Linked DNA regions of Macaca mulatta. Each later gene encodes a partner of the first gene's protein in a complex. Links are inferred from orthologs where the notes say so. Each region holds a gene or a part of one and is shown in the gene's direction. Other genes may lie near its edges.

Region 1 (6,350 bases):
GCCTCACTTTTAGTGCAGTGTGATCCTACACAAATTGCCCTGTGTATATTCCAAGGGCCAATCTGGGTTTGTAAGGCCAGAAACATGTGCAATTGCGGGGTGAGGGGTAGGTGGTCGGTGGCTCTTTTGACAAAAAAAAAAAAAAAAAAAAAAAGATGAAAACAAAATTAAGTTCAGGGTCTTGGGCAGGTCCTGAAAGTTAGGGGCCTAGAAGCTGAAATTAATCTACGAGTGGTAAATCTGCCTCTCCTATATGCCAGTGCCCCCAAAAACAAACAAACAAACAAAAACAGGACACACCAGATCTTGACAGGGCTTCCTCCCTGTTTGTGAAACGTGACAGAAGTGGGATCTGGAAGTCCTGGGAAAACAATCTCATTTCTCCCAGGAGACAAGAGGAATTACAGCAGCAAAGAGGCAGGCCGAGTGGAGGAGAAGGCTGCATGCCAGGGGAGAGTCGAAAGGGGCTGGGTGATCCAGCTGGCCGAGATGCGGGCAGTAGAGCCTCGGTGTGGGAGACTGGCAGCCTGAGAGCCAGGAGCAATGGCGCTGCCCCAGAAGCGGTGGCTGGAGACTGGGCCTGCTGGAAGCAGGCTTCCTTCAGATGGTCTTCTGGCTCCCTGCGTCCTGTCCTGATAACCTTTCCTCTGAAAAGGGGAGGCAAAGACAGACAACCACAGCCATGATAGTGGGAGGGTGGGTGGTGGACCCCGTCCAGGCCTTTCATCCCCGGCCTGCAGTTTAGTGAACCGGGAGACGTCTCGTCGCAGGCTGCTCCGCTGCCGCCCGGAGCAGCGAGAACCGGGTGCTGGGCTCCCCTCGCGGCTGCCCGCCGCCGCCGGGGGGCAGCGCCTGCGGCCTGCTTTCCCAGGGCCGGCCGAGGCTTTTTGACAAGCTGATTGCGTGGCGAGGATTGGCTGGTCCGGGCGTGACGCCGGTAACAACAAAGGTGGAGTTGGAAGAAATTAGATTAAAGGAGAGAAAAAAAATTAAAGGGGGAGCTGGCAAAAGACAGGAGGTATAGACCGAGGGGGAGATGCGCCAAGTGGTGTCTCCCGGTTCCGACTCCCCCCCGCCCCGCCTCGACCCCAGAAGATCCCTCGCGCAAACCCACTGGGATTTTGCTCTTTCCCCTACCCCCGCCCAGTGACCGACGCCGGGGTAGGAAGGATAGCCGCTTCTTCTTGAAAAATCCCCGCAACTCCCACCCTGACACCCCTCACTACGACCCAGGGGGAGAACTTTTTGCTCGGACTCCTCGGATCCTAAACCCAGCGAAGAGGGGGACATTGATAAGCTCGTCCTTTTAAAACCCGGAAGGCCCTCGCGGAGCATGGAGATCGGATAAGGCGGGGTGCTCCCTCGGTTTTCCGATGTGTTGCAAATCTAAGAGCTTCTTTCTCGCTTTTTTTTTTTTTCCCCTGTAACTACCCCCCCTCCCTTTTGCTTCAGGGTTGCAAAAGCAAAGAGCAATAAAAAAAAAAAAAAAAACCGCGCACACACTCAGACACACACCAGTGGCGACAGGGGAGAGTTGGAAAGACGCAGGAGAGAAGCAGGAGGCAGGAGGCAGCGGGGATGGAGCAATGGGAGCGGGAAGCAGGCAGGTTTCCTTGCAAATCCCCCTCCGGCCTCACGCCGCCTCCCAGCCCCGGCAGGGGAGCGAGGACCCCGGCGAACAGATGGAGGAGTGGAGCTCGCTCTAGGCAGCTGGGCTTGGCCGGAGAATGGAGGAGCCACCAAGCGACCGGCTGATTGGAAGAGAAACGCAGAGCGATGGAGGCGGGGGTAGGAGGACGATTTCTCTGCGGGGACTGGCGGCGGCGTACACGCCCGGGTCGGGCGCTGCAGAGCTTGGCTGGCTTTCAACCCGCGCTCGCCGGCTCCAGCCCCGCGCGCCCCCACCCCTAGCCCTCCCGGCGGCTCCGCAGGTGAGTGCGAGCTGCGGGCAGAAAGATCCAAAAGTCTCAACACGCCCGCCCTGCAAAAAAGGAAAAAAGAAAAAAAAGGAAGAAAACCATTTTACTTTAAAAAAAAAATTTTTTTTTGTGCAACCCCTAAAGCAGTGGGAGGGAAGGGGTGAGGCTGAGCCGCCCGGAGGAGGCGGAGGGGCCAGGCGAGGCCGGGGTGGCCCGGGAGGCGGCGGCGCCGAGGCGGCTCTGACGGGCAAGCGCTCGGAGCGGCGCTGCGCTGCGCCGAGGCGGGCGGGCGGGCGGGCGGAGCGGGGCGGGCGGAGCGCGGCGCGTGGGGCTCGCCATTAGCCGTCGCTCCGCTTCGCCATCTCGGGCTTTGTCTGGCGACTCGCTGCCCCGGCGTCGGCTGCAGCGGAGCTGCGGCTCGGCTGTTCCGCCCGCCGTGCTCCCAGGTGCCCCCGGCCTGCGCTCCCATCCACACGCTCGGTAAGTGAGCCCGGGCGCCGCGGATTTCGGGGGAGAGGGGTTGCTACGAGTGGCGGCGGCACCGATCTCCATGCGCCCGGGCAGGCCTGGGGAGCCATGCCGGGCTGGATTGAACCGGCTCCCACAGCGGCCCCTCCGCCGGAGCCCGTCGTTCCCTCGCCGTTTCCGGGGTGTAAAGAGCAACGGGGATTTTTTTTTTTAATGCAGAGATTTTCGGTTTTGGGTTTTTTTAAAGTTTCCTATGTACCGTTCGGCAATGAGAGGATCGCGAGGTAGGCGCCGAAGCTGGACGCCGCGATCGGCGTGCGTGCGCCCCAAACCAGTGGCCACGCTCCGGGGGATGAGGGTGGGCGCGGACCGCTCGCTCCGGGAGGCGGGAGAGAGCTGGCCTGGAAGCCCCAGTCTGAGCTGGGAGGACTTGGGGGAGAGCTCCGGAGCAGGGCTGTGGGCGCCCCCCAAGCCTTCCTGGCCGCCGGGGGCCCCTCCGGGCACCCTCTCCGCGGCCGCGCCTCGGCCCTCCCTCCCGCGCCGGCAAAGCCTGCTAGTTCCCCCGCGGGTCTGGCGAGGTCGCTCTCGGCGCCCGCCCGCCCGCCCGCCCCGGCTCCGAGCCCCGCCGCCATCCGGGCGGCTGCGTGTCTCCCTGCCCCGGCCCCCCCCTTCCCCGGCGGCGGCGGCGGCGGCAGCAGCAGCAGCAGCAGCCGCCGCCGCCACCAGCACCAGCACCACCACCACCCCCCTCCCCTCCTTCCTTCCCTCCGCCTCGGCCGCCCGGGTCCCCCCAGCTCCCGCCCCTCCTCCCAGCTGCCCCCCGCGGAGCCCGCCCGGGCAGGCTGTGGGAGGGAGCGGAGCCGGCGAGGCGGGCGGGCTGGCGCTCGCTCCCCGGGGGTCGGTGTGCGCTCTACGGGGAAGGACGCGCTCGCTGCCCCGCTTCTCCCGCCCCCCCTCCCGCTCCTCCTCCTCCCTTCTCCCTCCTCCTCCCCGCTCCGGCGGCTGAGGCTGCGGCGGCGGCGGGGGGTGTGCGAGCTGAGGCCGGGGCCGGCGGCGGGCGGGCTGCCTGCAGGCGGAGGGCGCTGTGCTTTGTGCTTTTCGCCGCGAGGAGCAGCAGGCAGCAGCCACAGCCGCCGCCGCCGCCGCCACAGCAGCAGCAGCCGCCGCCCCAGCGCCGCCGCCTCGCCCGGAGGAGGAGCCGCTGCCGCCGCGGGAGGGAGCTGCGGCTGTGCCCGGCCGAGCGGGGGAGGGCGCCGCCACTCAGAGCCGGGGAGGGAGCCGCCGGAGCGGGAAGCCCGGAGGCCGCGCTGCGCCGGGTAACCGAGGCGGCTGAGAACGCGCGCTGGGTTCGGGGCCGGACAGCAGGGAGCGAACCGCGGGTTGCGGTGGGCGCCCAGCAGGGACCCGGAGCGACCACCGAGCAGGGGACCGGGCGCGAGCAGACCAGGGCACTTGGGAGGACGCCGAGAGCCGGGGGAGGGGAAGGCAGGAAGCGAGGCCTGAGCCGAGCCACGGCCGCTGGCGGAGGAGCCCGCGCTTCTCGGATCCGGCAGGCGCAGTTCTCCCCGGCCGCCGGAGGGGGCGGCGGGGCCGGTGAGCGCTGCGCCCCCGCCTCCCGGCCGCCGTCCTCCCGCCCTCTCCTTGGCTCGGCTCCCCGGAGGCCGGGGCGGGGGCGCCGGCGGGGCTGGGCCGCAGGCTCGGGGGAGGAGGCGGCGGTTCCCGCCGCGGTCGCGCCTCTGTGCCGGGCTCCTCCGTGCGCGTCGGGGTGGCTGGGTGGTGGCGGCGCCTCTGGCCGGGGTGGGTGGCTCGGGGGCGGGGGGCAGGCTAGGCCGCTTCTCTCCGGCTGCTCGCCCGCCTGTGCGGGCGGGGACGGCGAAGGGAGCCCGGGAGGGGGGAGCGGCGAGAATCCGGATCCGGTCCCCGGGGGCGGTGCGGCCGCTGCGCTCCGGGGCTGGCGGCGGCTGCGCTGCGTCCGGGTCCCCGCCGGGTTGCGGAGGCGGGGGGAACCGGCTGGGGGGAGGCGGGAGGAGGAGACTGGGGCGCGTGCCCGCTTCCGTGGCCGCGCGCGCCCTTTACCCGCCCTTCCTCTTCCCCCGCCCTCCAGCCTGGGGCCTCCCCGGGGCGGGCGCTCAGAGGAGGAGGAGATTTTTTTTTTTTTTGGCTGGGGTTGGGGAAGGGGGGCGGAGGGCGGGCGCTCGCTGCACGCGGGAGCTGGGAGCAGGCCCTCGCGTGGGCAGGGGAGGGCGCGCGCCGCGGAGCCGGGCCGCAGGGGCTGGGGGAGGGGGGTCAGGAAGAAGAGGAGGGGCGTACTCTCCCTCCCAGAGACCCCTTAAGTCTGATAAGGTTATGGCTGGGTCTCTGAGAGCGTGGACCTGCCCACCTTTACTCTGGGCGGGGAGGGTTAGAAAGTCGTTCACCTCTCAGCCTTCCTGAGTGGGAACTTGTATGTCTTCCAAAGGGTGAGGTGGCTTTGACCCCGGGTTGCCCGGCCAGCACGACCGAGGAGGTGGCTGGACAGCTGGAGGATGAACGGAGAAGCCGACTGCCCCACAGACCTGGAAATGGCCGCCCCCAAAGGCCAAGGTAGGGGCATCCACTCCCAGCCCTCTGAAACTTAAACCCTCTTTGCCTCGTGGCTGTGGGGCACACTGCCTTCTTCAAGGGCTTTTCCAGTCTGCATACACTGAATTGGGGGAGAAAGTGCCTTGAGTACTTATGAATCAAGCATCTCCCACACTTGATTGGTTTGGCTGAATCCAAATTTTTTGGCCTGGAGTGGCTTACCTCCCCTCTCTCCCTGTCCCTCACACCCTATGTTAGAGGAGGCCTGCCTTCTGGGGTTTGCATTCAACCTTAAGTGTGTCCCAGCCCAGTGTCCTGGAATGGGAGGAATGATGACTGTAGAGGGAAGGCTTCTCAGGCTTTTTAGGAAGACCATGAGGCTTTTGTAGAGGCAGGTGGAGAAGAGGGCTGTTGTGGTGGTTTGAGGCCCCAAGCCATGGGATATATGTACTCAACTAGATCTCTGCCTCATTCAGCAGTGATCCAGTTTGGATGGGGGTGGAGGGTAGGATGGAGCTGGGCAGCTGGCCATGCTTGTGGGACATTGAGGGGAGAGGGGATTATGGGTCCTTGTGGCCCATTCTGCAGAATCCCTGGCCTAGGTTACGAGATGCGAATGAAAATGGAGAGCCCTTTTGACTTCTGGCCTTGGGTGACTATTCTCCCAGCCCATCCACAGAGGCCTAGAGCTCTCTGGGGCTGCATTTCAGTGGCTGAAAATAACTGGTCCAGACCTGGTCTTGCTTCCCTGGGGAGCTGGGCTGACAAGACAGCTTGTAATTCTGGGGGTTCTCCCTGGATCAGGGCCCTGAGAGCTTTTGTGCACCTGCCTACTTTGCCTCAGAGTTGCCCTGTATCCTGCTTCTGTTTCTGTTTCTTTTTTCTTATTTGCCAGAAATTCTCCCTTGATCTGCCTTGAGGGGCTAGGGGATAGTGGGTATCTCTAACATTGGTCTCCAGCTGTGCAGGAGAAACATGTGCATGAATTTTCCTTACTGCCCACACCCCATCCTCAGTCCTTGCACATTTAGAATATCCACTCAGAACTTGAACTTGGCAGCACATTTAGATACAATGCCTCCTTGCTTCCCTCCTCTGACAAGCTATCTCATTTCCCACAAAGTCCTGAATCACTGTACCTTCATTTCCACCCCTCTTCCCCTTACAGCAAATAGCTGCCTGTTGCAGCTTGGCACAGTAGAAATGATAATAGCTTTGAAGCAAGCCAGACTTGAGTTTGAGCCTGGTTTTCTAGGTATAGCATGGTCTGGACTGGAGTCCCTGCCCTCATCCAGTATGGCCACAGTTTCCTTAGGGCTGAGCCATATCTTGTCTCTGCCTTCAGATGGGAAGCAACCAGGGGCTGGGATGCCCTAGGGAGGAAGAGTTGAGCACTCAAGA
Region 2 (6,584 bases), on another chromosome or scaffold:
CTGAGGGAATAGTAAAAACGCCTCCTCTTCCTGCTTAACTGTGCCTCCAGGTACTGTCGAGCATTTTCTTGAAAACTATATGTGAAGTGGTATGAAAATTCAGTCACTTGCCCCTTCTCTCAAGTGGCTAGCTCCTAATCATACCTTGGATTTTAGCTAGATTTTACTTCCTCTGGGAAACTTGTCCTGTCCCATCCACCAACCTGCTTTGGCTCACATATCCCTCCTGTGTGCCCCATCATAGCATGAATACTGTGCTGTAACTGCACTCAAGAGCAAGGCTCCTATCTATCTTCACCACTGAACCAGATACAATTAGTATAGGGTCTGGCACAGAGCAAATGCTTAATAAATACTTGCAGAGTGGTCCTGGGTATTTGATTAGCATTGATTAAAGGACGAACAAAAAAACCAAGCCAGGATTAAATCTAGTTCTTGAAAAGTCACTCAAAAACTATGCCCTGATATTTTGATTCTGAGACTGTTCTGCTGCTGGGAATAAAAAGATAAACAAGACAGAGCCTGCTTTTGAGATGCTGTTGGTCTCTGGGGGGAAGATTCCAGGAATAAGAAAGGAAAGCAGTGGTGAAGTGCTGTCTATTAGAGGCAAGCACAGAGTTCTTTTTTTTTTTTTTTTTTTTTTTTAGATGGAGTCTCGCTCTGTGGCCCAGGCTAGAGCGCAGTGGCGCGATCTCGGCTCACCGCAAGCTCTGCCTCCCGGGTTCATGCCATTCTCCTACCTCAGCCTCCCAAGTAGCTGGGACTATAGGTGTCTGCCACCACGCCCGGCTAATTTTTTTTGTATTTTTAGTAGAGACGGGGTTTCAGTGTTAGCCAGGATGGTCTCGATCTCCTGCTCTTGTGATCCACCCGCCTCAGCCTCCCAAAGTGCTGGGATTACAGGCGTGAGCCACCGCGCCCGGCTGCCAAGCACAAAGTTCTATAGGAACACCAGGAGAGAACAAACTGGGGGTGGGATTGAGGAATGTGGAACAGAGGAAGTGACATCTGAGGTAGGTTTTGAGGGAATATGAGTAGTCAGCTAGATGGAAAAAAGGAGAAAGTTGGTAGCTATTATTATTTGTTTCAGTGACAGGTGTAGTGATGAGAGATGATGGGGTCATGAAGAGGGGGAGCCCACCAGAGCCCAGGGCTTGAAATCTGATTGTAGTGTGCATAAAGGACTAGGTGTTAGGAGGGAAGCTTCTTCAAGAGAAGGCTCCTCACCTGCTCCGCACCTGAGCAGGCTCCACATCAAAGTACGGTCTGAGGATGTCGATGTTGGCGTACAAGCTGAAGGCCCTGGAGGCTTGTCTCTTCCCGGCCTGCCACATCTGAAGTAAGGAAGATGGGCATAGGTATTGTGGGACTGTTGGTTCTAGACCCTGTTGCCTATTTTCCGCTTGATTTCTACATGGTTCTAACTGGACAACCTGGGGCAAACATCACCAACACCAACTCCAGAACATGGGACATACCTAGGTATACCTTTCCACCTGCAGAAGATTCAATCATGCTTACCTGATCTGCCACCTGCCGGCTCAGCTGTCCCTTAAAGCCTTTCATGCCCAGGAACTCTCCATCCTCTTCTTCAGCAGCAGCTGCATCAGCTGCATCAGCGTCTACTTCTTCCTCGCGCAGGCGCTGATGCAGCTCACCCATATCCTCGAAGCTAGAGCCTGAGGTATCATCCATGTTCTCCATGTCAATCACAGCTGAGCCTCCGCCCTGTGAAGACAATGGCTCCTAGAGTGCAGGACTTTTCTGTTCCATCCATTAAGTCCTCTGCTCATCCCAGGGTTTAGGGCTTTGTTCTTCCACTGCTGAGGATACGGCTCGGAATCACTACAGATCATGCCACTCCATTCCCCCTCATATGCTCTCAGAACTCTTGGTTTCTAGCTTTGGCTGAATTTTCTAGCCTGGGAAACATACTACTAGTCTTCCATTCCTGTCTTTTTCCTACCTTACCTACCAAAGACTAAAAGGCTGAAAAAGTGCCCATTTCCTTCTTTCCTAAGCCCCAAACAAAACTATACACATAATATGTTTTCAGCGAATGCCAGTGAATCCCACCCAACCCCACTCCATGCCTGACCCCGACCAACTTCCTAACTTGTTCCAAGAATACCTTCTTCCTAATGCCTCGAGCGGGCCCAGAGACCCGAGACCCTCAGGCTGGAGTACTAGTCTGGCCCTTTCAGGTCAATGTTAATCCTACTGACTTTAGTGTGCACGAAGACCCAAAGAAGAGAGTTTTGCAAATGGAGCGGACTTCCAGGCCCACAGGAAGAATCCTCAAGACACTTCTGGACATCGCTGGCCCTCGGGTTGCTGGCAGCTAGTGCCTTGGGGCCATTACCTGGATGTTTTCTTCGAACCCTCCCCATTCCGGGCCAGCTCCATTTCGGGCGCCGCCCGCCGGCGCCGCTGTAGTTGCCATGTCCCTTGAAGGCTCCCGTCGCTGAAGCCCGCGCTAGCCCCGCGCGCGGAGGAGTGGGCGAGACGTGGGCCTTAGTGAGGGAGACGTCCCGGGTCGAGGAGAGGTGGGATCGGCCGGAACACAAAAAAGAGAAGCCCGGATGTTTGGACAAAACCAACTTCCGGAGGCTGGGGACGTGGACGGAAGCGGGGAAAAGTCTCGCGATATTTAAGATTCCAGGCGGTGGCGCGTTGCCACGGAGACGGAGCCAGTCTACTAGGACGCACGCGCCAGATAGAGCCTCCAGTCTCGTGGAGAGATTGAAGATGGCGGCTTCTCAGGCGGTGGAGGAGATGCGGGGCCGCGTGGTTCTAGGGGAGTTTGGGGTTCGCAATGTAAGCCTTGTGGCCTTGAGCTCGGGCGGGAGGAATGAGAGCGGAACAGGGGTGGGTCTTGGGATTGGCGTGGGGATAGCCGTGGGCTCATTGTCCCTTTGTGGACAAACTCGTCCCTTTGCTCTAGGTCCATACCACTGACTTTCCCGGAAACTATTCCGGTTATGATGATGCCTGGGACCAGGACCGCTTCGAGAAGGTAAGTGGGGCCGAAGTTGTCTGGGGAGGGTTATGAAGGCCAGACCCTGTGGCCTGAGCAGCCTGTGTCTGTCTCAGCAGCTGCTTTTGGGGGTCGCTCCGTTTGTGTTTGTTGAGCAATGTGCTAGACGCTCCGTTTACAGGCCAAATTAGACACGGTTTCTATCTCTGCAGAGATATTCCGTCTTGTTGAGGAATGGTGCGTATAAACAAGTGCATCTAGTGTAATATGGTGAAGGTGGTTGATAGCGATGAAGACGGCAGGGTTGGGGTGGGGAGCATTCCGCTGAGACCAGGAAGAGGGGCCGAGAGGTACTTAACATTTCAAGAGGAGGGGACACCTGAATTGAACCTTGAATGGTAAGTAAAAAAAAAAACAGGAGTTGAATTATGAAAGATTTGAGTTTCACGTCAGTGAAGTTCAGGATATGCAGGTTTTGTGTGTATTTAGTCTTTTGTATTATTGTTTCACTTAGCTTAAAATAAGGGTTAAAATTGCATTTAAATAGATTACTGAATGTTACTCTTTATGCAACTGACCTAAATGTTACCCTTTATGCAGCTTATAAACATGATGTGTAAATCAGTGCCTGGGAAAATTTTACTTTTTTAACCTGTTGATACAAGGAATAAAGTATGAACAATGAAAAAGGCTAATGCTTGAAAAAAAATTATGACTTCTGTGACATGTGCTCCGGGAATGTCCAAGTAGTTCTGGCATGAGTGGTCGGCAAGATTGAAGTGTGTCACACTGTGGATGATAGGGAGCTTGAATAGTTTCTTAAGCAGACATGATCAGATTTGCAACCTTGATGGCTGGGAGGGAATGAGTTTGAGGAGGATCATATGGAGCAGGCAGATCTGTTGTAAGGGAAGCTGAGGTTGAAGATATGAACTAAGACTGATGGTAGAAATAGAGCAAAGGAAGAATATAAGGTAAATTTATGATTGCTTGGATAAAGGCTGTGGGGGTAGCATAAAATGACTTTTTCTGGCTTGGGAACTGCTTTTTGCTTTGTGGTATCATTTACTAAGAGGAGAAATGGGTCTGGGGAACAGGGATGATGATGCATTGTTTTCTGTATGTGGGGAAATCTAGCAGGCTAGAAGACTGCATGCTTGAAATGAGATCAGAAGTGAGATAAAATTTTGGGAGTTGTCAGAACAGATAGTTGCTAAAACTGTTAGTACAGTTAAGGTGACCTGGGAGAGAGACAAGAACCTGGCAAATTTAGAGATGGGTGGAAGTTGATCATCAGAGATGGAAGAAGAGTGGAGCTCAGAAACCAGGGGAATCGTTCAAAAAAGGGGATTTTTTTTTTTTTTTTCCTTTTCATGAGACACTCTTATCTCCCAGGCTGGAGTGCAGTGGTGCAATCTTGGCTCACTGCAACCTCCGCCTCCTGGGTTCAGGCAGTTCTCCTGCCTCAGCCTCCCGAGTAGCTGGGACTACAGCTACGCGCCACCATGCCCAGCTAATTTTTTGAATTTTTAGTAGAGACGGGGTTTCACCATGCTGGCCAGGCTGGTCTCAAACTCCTGACCTTGTGATCCGCCCCTCGGCCTCCCATAGTGCTGGGATTACAGGTGTGAGTCACCGTGCTGGGCCCAGAGGAGGTTTTTTAATCAATGTCAAGCATAACAGAAGTCTAGTAAGAGGACTGGGTAGTGTCAACAGGACTAAGCACTATGGTAGTTTCTGTTCTTTAGTGGAATAGCTTCTGTGGATGGTTTGGTTGGAAGCCATATTGCATAGGGTTTTAATGAATGGACGACAAAAATGGAGACTTTTTATGAAACTAAAGCACTGGGCGAGAAAGAATATTTAATAAGGGACATCTGGGCAAAGGGAGGTTTTTGGATGAGAGGATAATACTTGAGGGAATTATCTAAGGGGGAGGTATGAAGAGATATTACAGAGAGAGCAGGTTTCACTTAAATGTTTTTCCTGTCCCTCTAGAATTTCCGTGTGGATGTAGTACACATGGATGAAAACTCACTGGAGTTCGACATGGTGGGAATTGACGCAGCCATTGCCAATGCTTTTCGACGAATTCTGTTAGCTGAGGTATTGGCAGGCATGGTGACAAGGCTGGAGTTGCTTTGGGAACTGCACTGACACCTCACTTGGAGAATTGTCTCAAGCTGTCCTTCCCTCATTTTTCCTGGAATTTTGCTGAGCATTTTACCTTCTCATTCTTTGTAAATTTCTCATTAAACATTCTAGGAAGAGAGATAGCTCCTTACCTCTGGAGGGTGGGGTTGTGGGGATAGGTAGGGGGTCTGTTGGGTTTTTGCAGATAAGTGGTTATTTTTCCTTGGGCAGGTGCCAACTATGGCTGTGGAGAAGGTCCTGGTGTACAATAATACATCCATTGTTCAGGATGAGATCCTTGCTCACCGTCTGGGGCTCATTCCCATTCATGCTGATCCCCGTCTTTTTGAGTATCGGAATCAAGGTAAGAAAATGAAATTTTGGGAGAAGTGGACTGTCTGGGTTCAAATCCTGGTTGACTGTGATGTTGGGTAAGTTACTTATGTTTGTACATCAGTGTTTTTCATCTGTGAGAACACTTGCCTTGGCTTCCCAAGTTTGCCGTAATTAAATGGGACACATATGTAAAGCATTCAGCATAGTGCTGGCACTCAGATGTTTACTAGTTCTTTTTTTTTTTTTCTTTTTTTTTTTTTTTGAGACGGAGTCTCGCTGTGTCGCCCAGGCTGGAGTGCAGTGGCCGGATCTCAGCTCACTGCAAGCTCTGCCTCCCGGGTTTTTACGCCATTCTCCTGCCTCAGCCTCCCGAGTAGCCGGGACTACAGGCGCCCGCCACCTCGCCCGGCTAGTTTTTGTATTTTTTAGTAGAGACGGGGTTTCACGGTGTTAGCCAGGATGGTCTCGAACTCCTGACCTCGTGATCCGCCCGTCTCGGCCTCCCAAAGTGCTGGGATTACAGGCTTGAGCCACCGCGCCCGGCCAGATGTTTACTAGTTCTTAAGAGCTCCCTCCATTTGTGCAGGAGATGAAGACGGCACAGAGATAGATACCCTACGGTTTCGTCTCCAAGTCAGATGCACTCGGAACCCCCATGCTGCTAAAGATTCCTCTGACCCCAACGAACTGTATGTGAACCACAAAGGTAAGTAGTGGTAGGGTGAGGAAGAGGCCCCACCTGTGGGTGGCTGCTAGTTTTAGGAACTGAAATCTTTTGACATGTTTTTCCTCCAGTGTATACCAGGCATATGACATGGATCCCCCTGGGGAATCAGGCTGATCTTTTCCCAGAGGGCACTATCCGACCAGTGCACGATGACATCCTCATTGCTCAGCTGCGGCCTGGCCAAGAAATTGACCTGCTTATGCACTGTGTCAAGGGCATTGGTGAGAACCCTGTGTTCCTTCCTGGGAAGAGGGGTAGTTTGGTTGCAGTGGGGCAAGCTGACTAGGGAACTCAGCTGAGATATTCCTAGCAGGTAGAAAGCCAAGAGCATCGTGCTTTTGCTGTTAGCAGCTTAGGAAGAGTATTCTTCCTAATCCTAGAAGGGTTTCGTATAGGCACTTTCTCTCTTCC
Region 3 (6,243 bases), on another chromosome or scaffold:
GTCTGGGGCGGACCATCTTTCTACACACTAGATTCTATGCTTAGCATGGTGCCATGCACGTGGCAGGGACACAGAGAATGTCTTGGGTGGTGGAAACTTCAATGGTGTGAATGGTGCCGCGGAAGGGGCAGTGGGGTGCTAAGACTTGGGCCCAAGTGGTGAAGGGGAGGAGCAAAGAAAACGTGCATGTTGGGGGGGTCAGGGGAAGGACACCTGGGACAAGTACCTGGTGTCCTTGTCCTCTGCAGGCCCTCAGCCTCAGCCAGAAACCAGCATGCAGTTTCCATCCCTTCGGCCCTGCAGCCTCAAACTTCCAAGCCTCAGTTTCCCCAGCTCAAAAGGCTGGGACAGGATTAGGGTAGGCCCCTGGTCCTCGCGCTTCCCAGGGTAACCTGGAGCGGCGGTCCCGGAGCGCACTCCTCGGGCTCAGCTCATCTTCACTTACCAGGGTCTGCTCGTACTGCAGCGCCCGCGGCTCCATCCCTTCCTCCGCCGCCGCGGCCGCCATCTCCGCGCACTGCCCTCTCGCCTCCCTCAGCGGCTCCGGCTCTGTCCTGGACTTGGCTCCCGGCCCGCAGAGTCAGCGCAGGTAGCCGTCCCGTCCCCGCAGCTCCGGAGGCCGAGAGCAGAGTGCGGCGGGCCCCCGGCGGGCGCCGCTGGCGCAGCCTCCCGCTCGCGTCCCCTCCTCGGCGGGCGGGCAGAGGGCGGTGCCCTCTGCGCTGCTCCGCCCGCCGGCCCATCCGGAGGGGACGGCCCAGCCAGGCTGGGGTCCGTGCGGGGCCTCCCGAGAGGCGGCAAAGGGCGCTGGGAAGGCGTAAGCCCGCGCCGGCTCCCTGCAGAGGCCCGGGTCGGAGAGGGGCGCCCGGGAGGGGCGGGTCTACTGGCACGTGGAGGGGCCCACCCGGGTTCGCAGTTCCCAGTGCCCAGGCAGGAGGGGCTGCAGACGCCTGAACTCCGTAGGGGTTGGGGCTGGGAGCTGCGGAGCTGTCTACATCGGATTCCTCCGGGTCAGCCCGTTAGGAGCCGCCTCCCCTCTGTCCCTCCGAAGGGACGAGCGGCCCAGACAGGCCCAGGAAGGCCCCTCTGCCCCGTCAGGGGTGAAAAGCAAAGCTGGGAGAATTCGGAGGGAATTGGAGCCGTCTTCCTCATCCTTCCTTTTCTCGGGGCTCCCCTGGGGAGGTGCACTTGGAGCAACCCGGCCTACGGGGTGTGCAGGGGTGGAGGTTGGGGAGGGCACCGGAAGGGGTAGGCCGGAGGGAAGGGAGCTCCAGGTGCCGGGAAGTCCACTTCTGGGACGCGGGCGTGGGTCGCTTCTCCCTGGTTGGGCCCAAGGAGGAACCAGAGTCGCTGCTTCCATCTCTCCGCTTTGGGGGAACCGCCTGCTGGTGCTCTGGGTTCTCTATCAGGGGCTGGTGAAGGATAGAACAGATGGCAGAGCGCGCGCAGGGTGGATGGGCAGCATAGAGATAGTGTGAGAGGAGCGAGGGCAGCGCCCAGGAAACGCACAAGTGTGCGGGACAGCCAGCACCAGGAGGAAGGGGCATTTGGGAGGCAGAGGAGGGCCTCAGGGGGCGGGGGCAGTGCCCGGGAAGGGGGAGCCTTGTGATAGAAGCCAGTACCCAGGAGGAAGGGCCAGTGTGAGGGAAGAGCTGGTGTCCAAGGGACAGGGCAGTGCCAGGCTGAAGGGGCACGGAGGGGATCCGTGTCCAGGAGAAGGCAGTGGAGGACTAAGTTGGAGGGGTAATGCCCGGGGGAGGCGGGTGGCGGGAGCCAGGCTGAGGGGGCGGTGACGGGGAAGACAGCAGGGCCTGGGGGAAGCGGGCAGTGGTGGGAGGGTGCAGTACGAGGGGAGGGGACAATACAGGCTTTCCTCTTCTCCATAGCGACATCATGGCAAATTCCCAAACTGGACGGATCCGGCTCGGGTTACATCCAGCAGGGCCGAGCCGGCCCGGGCAGGCCCCGGGGTCCGCGGTGCCGGCTGGAGGGGCTGGGCACCTCTGGGGCGGGGTTCTGCTCCACCTGCCCTCGGCGCGGACTGTGCCCTAGGCGGGCACGCAGACCGGCGGGGTAGGGCTAGGGCCCGGCTTCTCTGGGCCAAGGATCAAGGTCCCTGCCTGGGTTAGGCCCCCACGACTTCCAATCTTCGGGACCCGGCCTCTGAAGAGGGCGCAGCAGAGCCCCAGCTGAGCGCTAGAACCCGCTCTACAGCCGCGGGAGGTTGGACCTATTGTTTCCCCGCCCTGGGCGGGGCCACCTGGACGTGAGACCCGCCCTCAACGCCGAAGCCTCTCGGGAGCAATCTTTTGGGGCGGAAGTTAAGTAGCCCCGAGCGGGAGTCTGTGGCGGAAGTGGGCGCGTTACCACTTGTTTGTGCGCATGCGCCACTCTTGTCTGGCTGCCGCGCATGTAAAAGCTGGTTTTGCTCTTCTCCCCTCTTCTGCACCAGAGCGGGTGCGCGTACTCCCAGCTGTGGTCGCCCGCTCACCCCTTCTGCTGCTCTCGTGGCCCCCTCGCGATGGCGGGCATCCTCTTTGAAGATATTTTCGATGTGAAGGATATTGACCCGGAGGGCAAGAAGTTTGACCGAGGTAAGTAAAGTAGGTAGGGGCGATTTGGAGGAAGAGGCTAACCTCGCGGACATGCCCCTGGACCCCGTGTCCACCCAGCTCTTGTGGCCTGCCCCTACCAGCAGGTCCTGATGTAGGGACCTCCCTCAGGAAACAATTTATGGATGAGAAAAGGGAGACTCCCGAGCTTTCTCTGGCTTCACGCATGCCGTGCCCGGTGCCTAGGTGGCCTTTTGTCATGGTGCTGGCAAACTCCTGGGCATCTTTATAATCGCTACCTGCTCTGTGCTAGACACTGTCTTGTGAGACCAGCCTGGCCAACATGGTGAAACCCCGTCTCTACCAAAAATACAAAAATTACAGGCGGGCGCCTGTAATCCCAGCTACTTGGGAGGCTGAGGCAGGAGAATTGCCTGACCCTGGGAGGCGGAGGTTGCAGTGAGCCAAGATTGCGCCGCTGCACTCCAGCCTGGCAACAGAGCGAGACTCCTCAAGAAAATGAGAGTCCTCATGAGGTGGGTGGTGCCTTCCCCATTTTTTTCTGAGAGAGTAATCCACCCAAGGCTTCACAGCGAGTAATCTGACTTCAGAGCCTATATTCTTGTATTGCCCTCATAATCCTTAGCGCTTTAAGTCTTCTCTGAGTTAGAGTTAGCTGCTTGGTATATCCTTTTTTTTTTTTTTTTTGAGACAGAGCCTCGAGCCCAGGCTGGAGTGTAGTGGCACGATCTTGGCTCACCACAACCTCCGTCTCCCGGGTTCAAGCGATTCTCTGCCTCAGCCTCCCAAGTAGCTGGGATTACAGACATGCTCCACCACGCCTGGCTAATTTTGTATTTTTAGTAGAGACGGGGTTTCACCACTTTGGCCAGGCTGGTCTCGAACTCCTGACCTCAAGTGATCCACCTGCCTCAGCCTCCCAAAATGTTGGGATTACAGGCGTGAGCCACTCCACTGGCCTACACCTCTTAATTTTGTCATCTATCAATAATTTTCTTTTTGATGTCTCATTCTTTGCCTGGAGACTCAGATGTTTTCAAGACGGATACCAGTTCTTATACATCTTGATAACTCCCCTCAGCACAGTGCCTGTCATAGAAAGAGGAAACCTTTGGATGATTGAATAACTTGCCCAGAGTCAGGTTCTCAGTCATCCAGGCAGGCCTAGAACCGGGTATTATTTGCTGCTGAAGTATCTTTGGTTGTTTTCTGGGGATTACGTTCACTTGCCACAGTTTTTCTCCCCTTTTCCTTCTTGCATGTCTGGTTCTGATGGAGCCTGCATTTCTATGAGAGCAGATGAGAGACCAGTGGTTGTAGACTGGGTTAGATTGAGTATTCTGTTGCATACAATCCCACACTGTAGGATCTGCCTTGGGCCTGGCAATACCTCTGTCACTCTTTTCCTGCTTCTCCCCAGTGTCTCGACTGCATTGTGAGAGTGAATCTTTCAAGATGGATCTAATCTTAGATGTAAACATTCAAATTTACCCTGTAGACTTGGGTAAGTATTGAACACAGACAATAATAAGAGGCATTTTGCCGCTTCCGCTATTCTTCACTCTCTGATATTGCTGTTATTTTCAGGTGACAAGTTCCGGTTGGTCATAGCTAGTACCTTGTATGAAGATGGTACCCTGGATGATGGTGAATACAACCCCACTGATGATAGGCCTTCCAGGTGAGGTAGTGGAGAAGGTAATACTTGGAATATGCCTTGAGAACTAAGTAGATAAGTGATATAGAAAGACTCTTCTTTAATTCCTGGAATAAATGATGATCAGCAGAATCTGAGTAACCTTAAGGAAATTTCTGCACTTAAGAATTCAAACAGGCCAGACACCGTGGCTCACACCTGTAATCTAAGCACTTTGGGAGGCCGAGCAGGAGGATTGCTTGGGTACAGGAGTTCAAAACCAGCCTGAGCAACATAGCGAAACCTCACTGCTACAAAAATAAGAAAAAAAGAAAAAAAAAAAAAAAAGGCTGCACATGTTGTCATATGCCTGTAGTTCCAGCTACCTGGGAGGCTGAGGTGGGAGGATTGCCTGAGCCCAGGAGGTTGAGGCTGCAGTGAGCCATGATTGTACCACTGCAATCCAGCCTGGGTGACAGAGTAAGACCCTGTCTCAAAAAAAAAAGAAAAAAATTCCAACAACCAGGTATTTATCTATAACAGTGATTACATGCTTGTGAGTTGTAGCCTTTTGAAGGCTGAGGAGGTGACTGCTGAGTGCCCTAGGCTATGTGGGTCTTGTGTCTTGGGAGGGAGCTTGGTGTGATGGAAAGACTTTGGCACCCCACTTGAGTTCATTTCTCAGCTCTATCACTTATTTGTTGAGTAACCTTAATCTCCTTCAGCCTGTTTCCCCATCAGTAGAATAGAGATGATCATGATCATGCCTAGCTCACGGGGTTGCTGCGAGGACTAAATGACATCATGTTTGTTTGTAATGTGCCTTTTTTTTTTTTTTTTTTTTTTTTAGACGGAGTCTTGTTATGTCGCCCAGACTGGAGTGCAGTGGCTCAATCTCGGCTCACTACAAGCTCCGCTTCCTGGGTTCACGCCAGTCCCGAGTAGCTGGGACTACAGGCGCCCGCCACCACGCCCGGCTAATTTTTTTATATTTTTAGTAGAGATGGGGTTTCACTGTGTTAGCCAGGATGGTCTCGATTTCCTGACTTCGTGATCTGCCCGCCTCAGCCTCCCAAAGTGCTGGGATTACAGGCTTGATACACTGCGCCCAGCCGACCAGTAACCATTTTTAAATGGGATTTTTTATATTGTTAATTACTGTTAAGAATAACTTTGCTGCTATTGCTCCACAGGGCTGACCAATTTGAATATGTAATGTATGGAAAAGTGTACAGGATTGAGGGAGACGAAACTTCTACTGAAGCAGCAACACGCCTGTAAGTTACATAATCTTATGAGGTTCTTTTCCCTCTCTGTGTTCTGAGACTTTGAGCTATGCTCCTGCTTCCTCTGTTGGGTCCCTCTCCTCAGGCACCTCAGACCTAGGTAGGAACTAGAAAGAAATGGTTCTGAGAGCAGTTTCCAGTCTGAAAGGTAGACTGCTCTTTGTCAGGCCCTCCTGGCCCAGCAGTCCAGATGAGAAACTGGTTATCTTACTGTGTAAAGTGCAAAGGAGACTTGCTTCTCCAGAAACAAATGCAGCATTAAGTGATTATCCTATTAGGCTGTGTGTGTGTGTGTGTGTGTGTGTGTGTGTGTGTGTGTGTGTGTGTGTGTGTTTTGCTACTCTGTAACCCAATCCCTAGTTCCTTGGTTTTCCTGTCCAGCTATTTTTTCTTTTCTTTAAAATCTTATTAAAACAATATGTGCTTTTTGTAAGCAATTTGAAATGCAGAAGAGTAATGTGAAGAAGGAAAAAAAAAAGTCACCTGTAATTCCATACCCAGAGATAACCTTTTACATAGACTTTTTTGCATATCCTGGTGTTCTGTTTTTTCCTTTGAGACTGTGGTGTTTATTATGTTTTCTTCTGCTCTTTTTGCTTAACATTATGTAAAATATGTTTCCCCATGTTAGTGTGAAGCTTTTCTTAAATGTTTTAATAGTTGCATAACATTTCAGTAAGTGGATACATCTTGATTCATTTGACCATTCCCCTGATTTGGGGCATATAGGTGTTTTCCACCTTCGCTAATA

What was found. Proteins that work in one complex are often made in the same cells at the same time.
Region 2: UBTF (region 1) and POLR1C share a complex: the UniProt entries of both Homo sapiens proteins name them as parts of the pol I pre-initiation complex. The link is inferred for Macaca mulatta from reciprocal best matches to the Homo sapiens genes UBTF and POLR1C.
Region 3: UBTF (region 1) and POLR2H share a complex: the UniProt entries of both Homo sapiens proteins name them as parts of the pol I pre-initiation complex. The link is inferred for Macaca mulatta from reciprocal best matches to the Homo sapiens genes UBTF and POLR2H.

What each region holds. Positions count from the first base shown.
Region 1 is NC_133421.1:68,590,054-68,596,403, reverse strand, and holds the start of UBTF (nucleolar transcription factor 1), read left to right. Parts: upstream 1-2,259; 5' UTR 2,260-2,399; intron 2,400-3,209; exon of another isoform or gene 3,210-3,284; intron 3,285-3,478; exon of another isoform or gene 3,479-3,772; intron 3,773-3,969; exon of another isoform or gene 3,970-4,184; intron 4,185-4,845; 5' UTR 4,846-4,912; coding exon 4,913-4,970; exon of another isoform or gene 4,971-5,025; intron 5,026-6,350. UniProt on the Homo sapiens protein: Recognizes the ribosomal RNA gene promoter and activates transcription mediated by RNA polymerase I (Pol I) through cooperative interactions with the transcription factor SL1/TIF-IB complex.
Region 2 is NC_133409.1:138,599,691-138,606,274, reverse strand, and holds the start of POLR1C (DNA-directed RNA polymerases I and III subunit RPAC1), read left to right. Parts: upstream 1-2,727; 5' UTR 2,728-2,748; coding exon 2,749-2,817; intron 2,818-2,944; coding exon 2,945-3,016; intron 3,017-4,975; coding exon 4,976-5,083; intron 5,084-5,341; coding exon 5,342-5,474; intron 5,475-6,032; coding exon 6,033-6,152; intron 6,153-6,241; coding exon 6,242-6,394; intron 6,395-6,584. Other genes in the region: protein YIPF3, read right to left, coding at 1,228-1,334, 1,522-1,728, 2,363-2,443. UniProt on the Homo sapiens protein: DNA-dependent RNA polymerase catalyzes the transcription of DNA into RNA using the four ribonucleoside triphosphates as substrates.
Region 3 is NC_133407.1:96,502,114-96,508,356, forward strand, and holds the start of POLR2H (DNA-directed RNA polymerases I, II, and III subunit RPABC3), read left to right. Parts: upstream 1-2,386; 5' UTR 2,387-2,518; coding exon 2,519-2,591; exon of another isoform or gene 2,592-2,599; coding exon of another isoform or gene 2,600-2,600; intron 2,601-3,990; coding exon 3,991-4,074; intron 4,075-4,157; coding exon 4,158-4,251; intron 4,252-5,399; coding exon 5,400-5,483; intron 5,484-6,243. Other genes in the region: CLCN2 (chloride channel protein 2), read right to left, coding at 446-508. UniProt on the Homo sapiens protein: DNA-dependent RNA polymerase catalyzes the transcription of DNA into RNA using the four ribonucleoside triphosphates as substrates.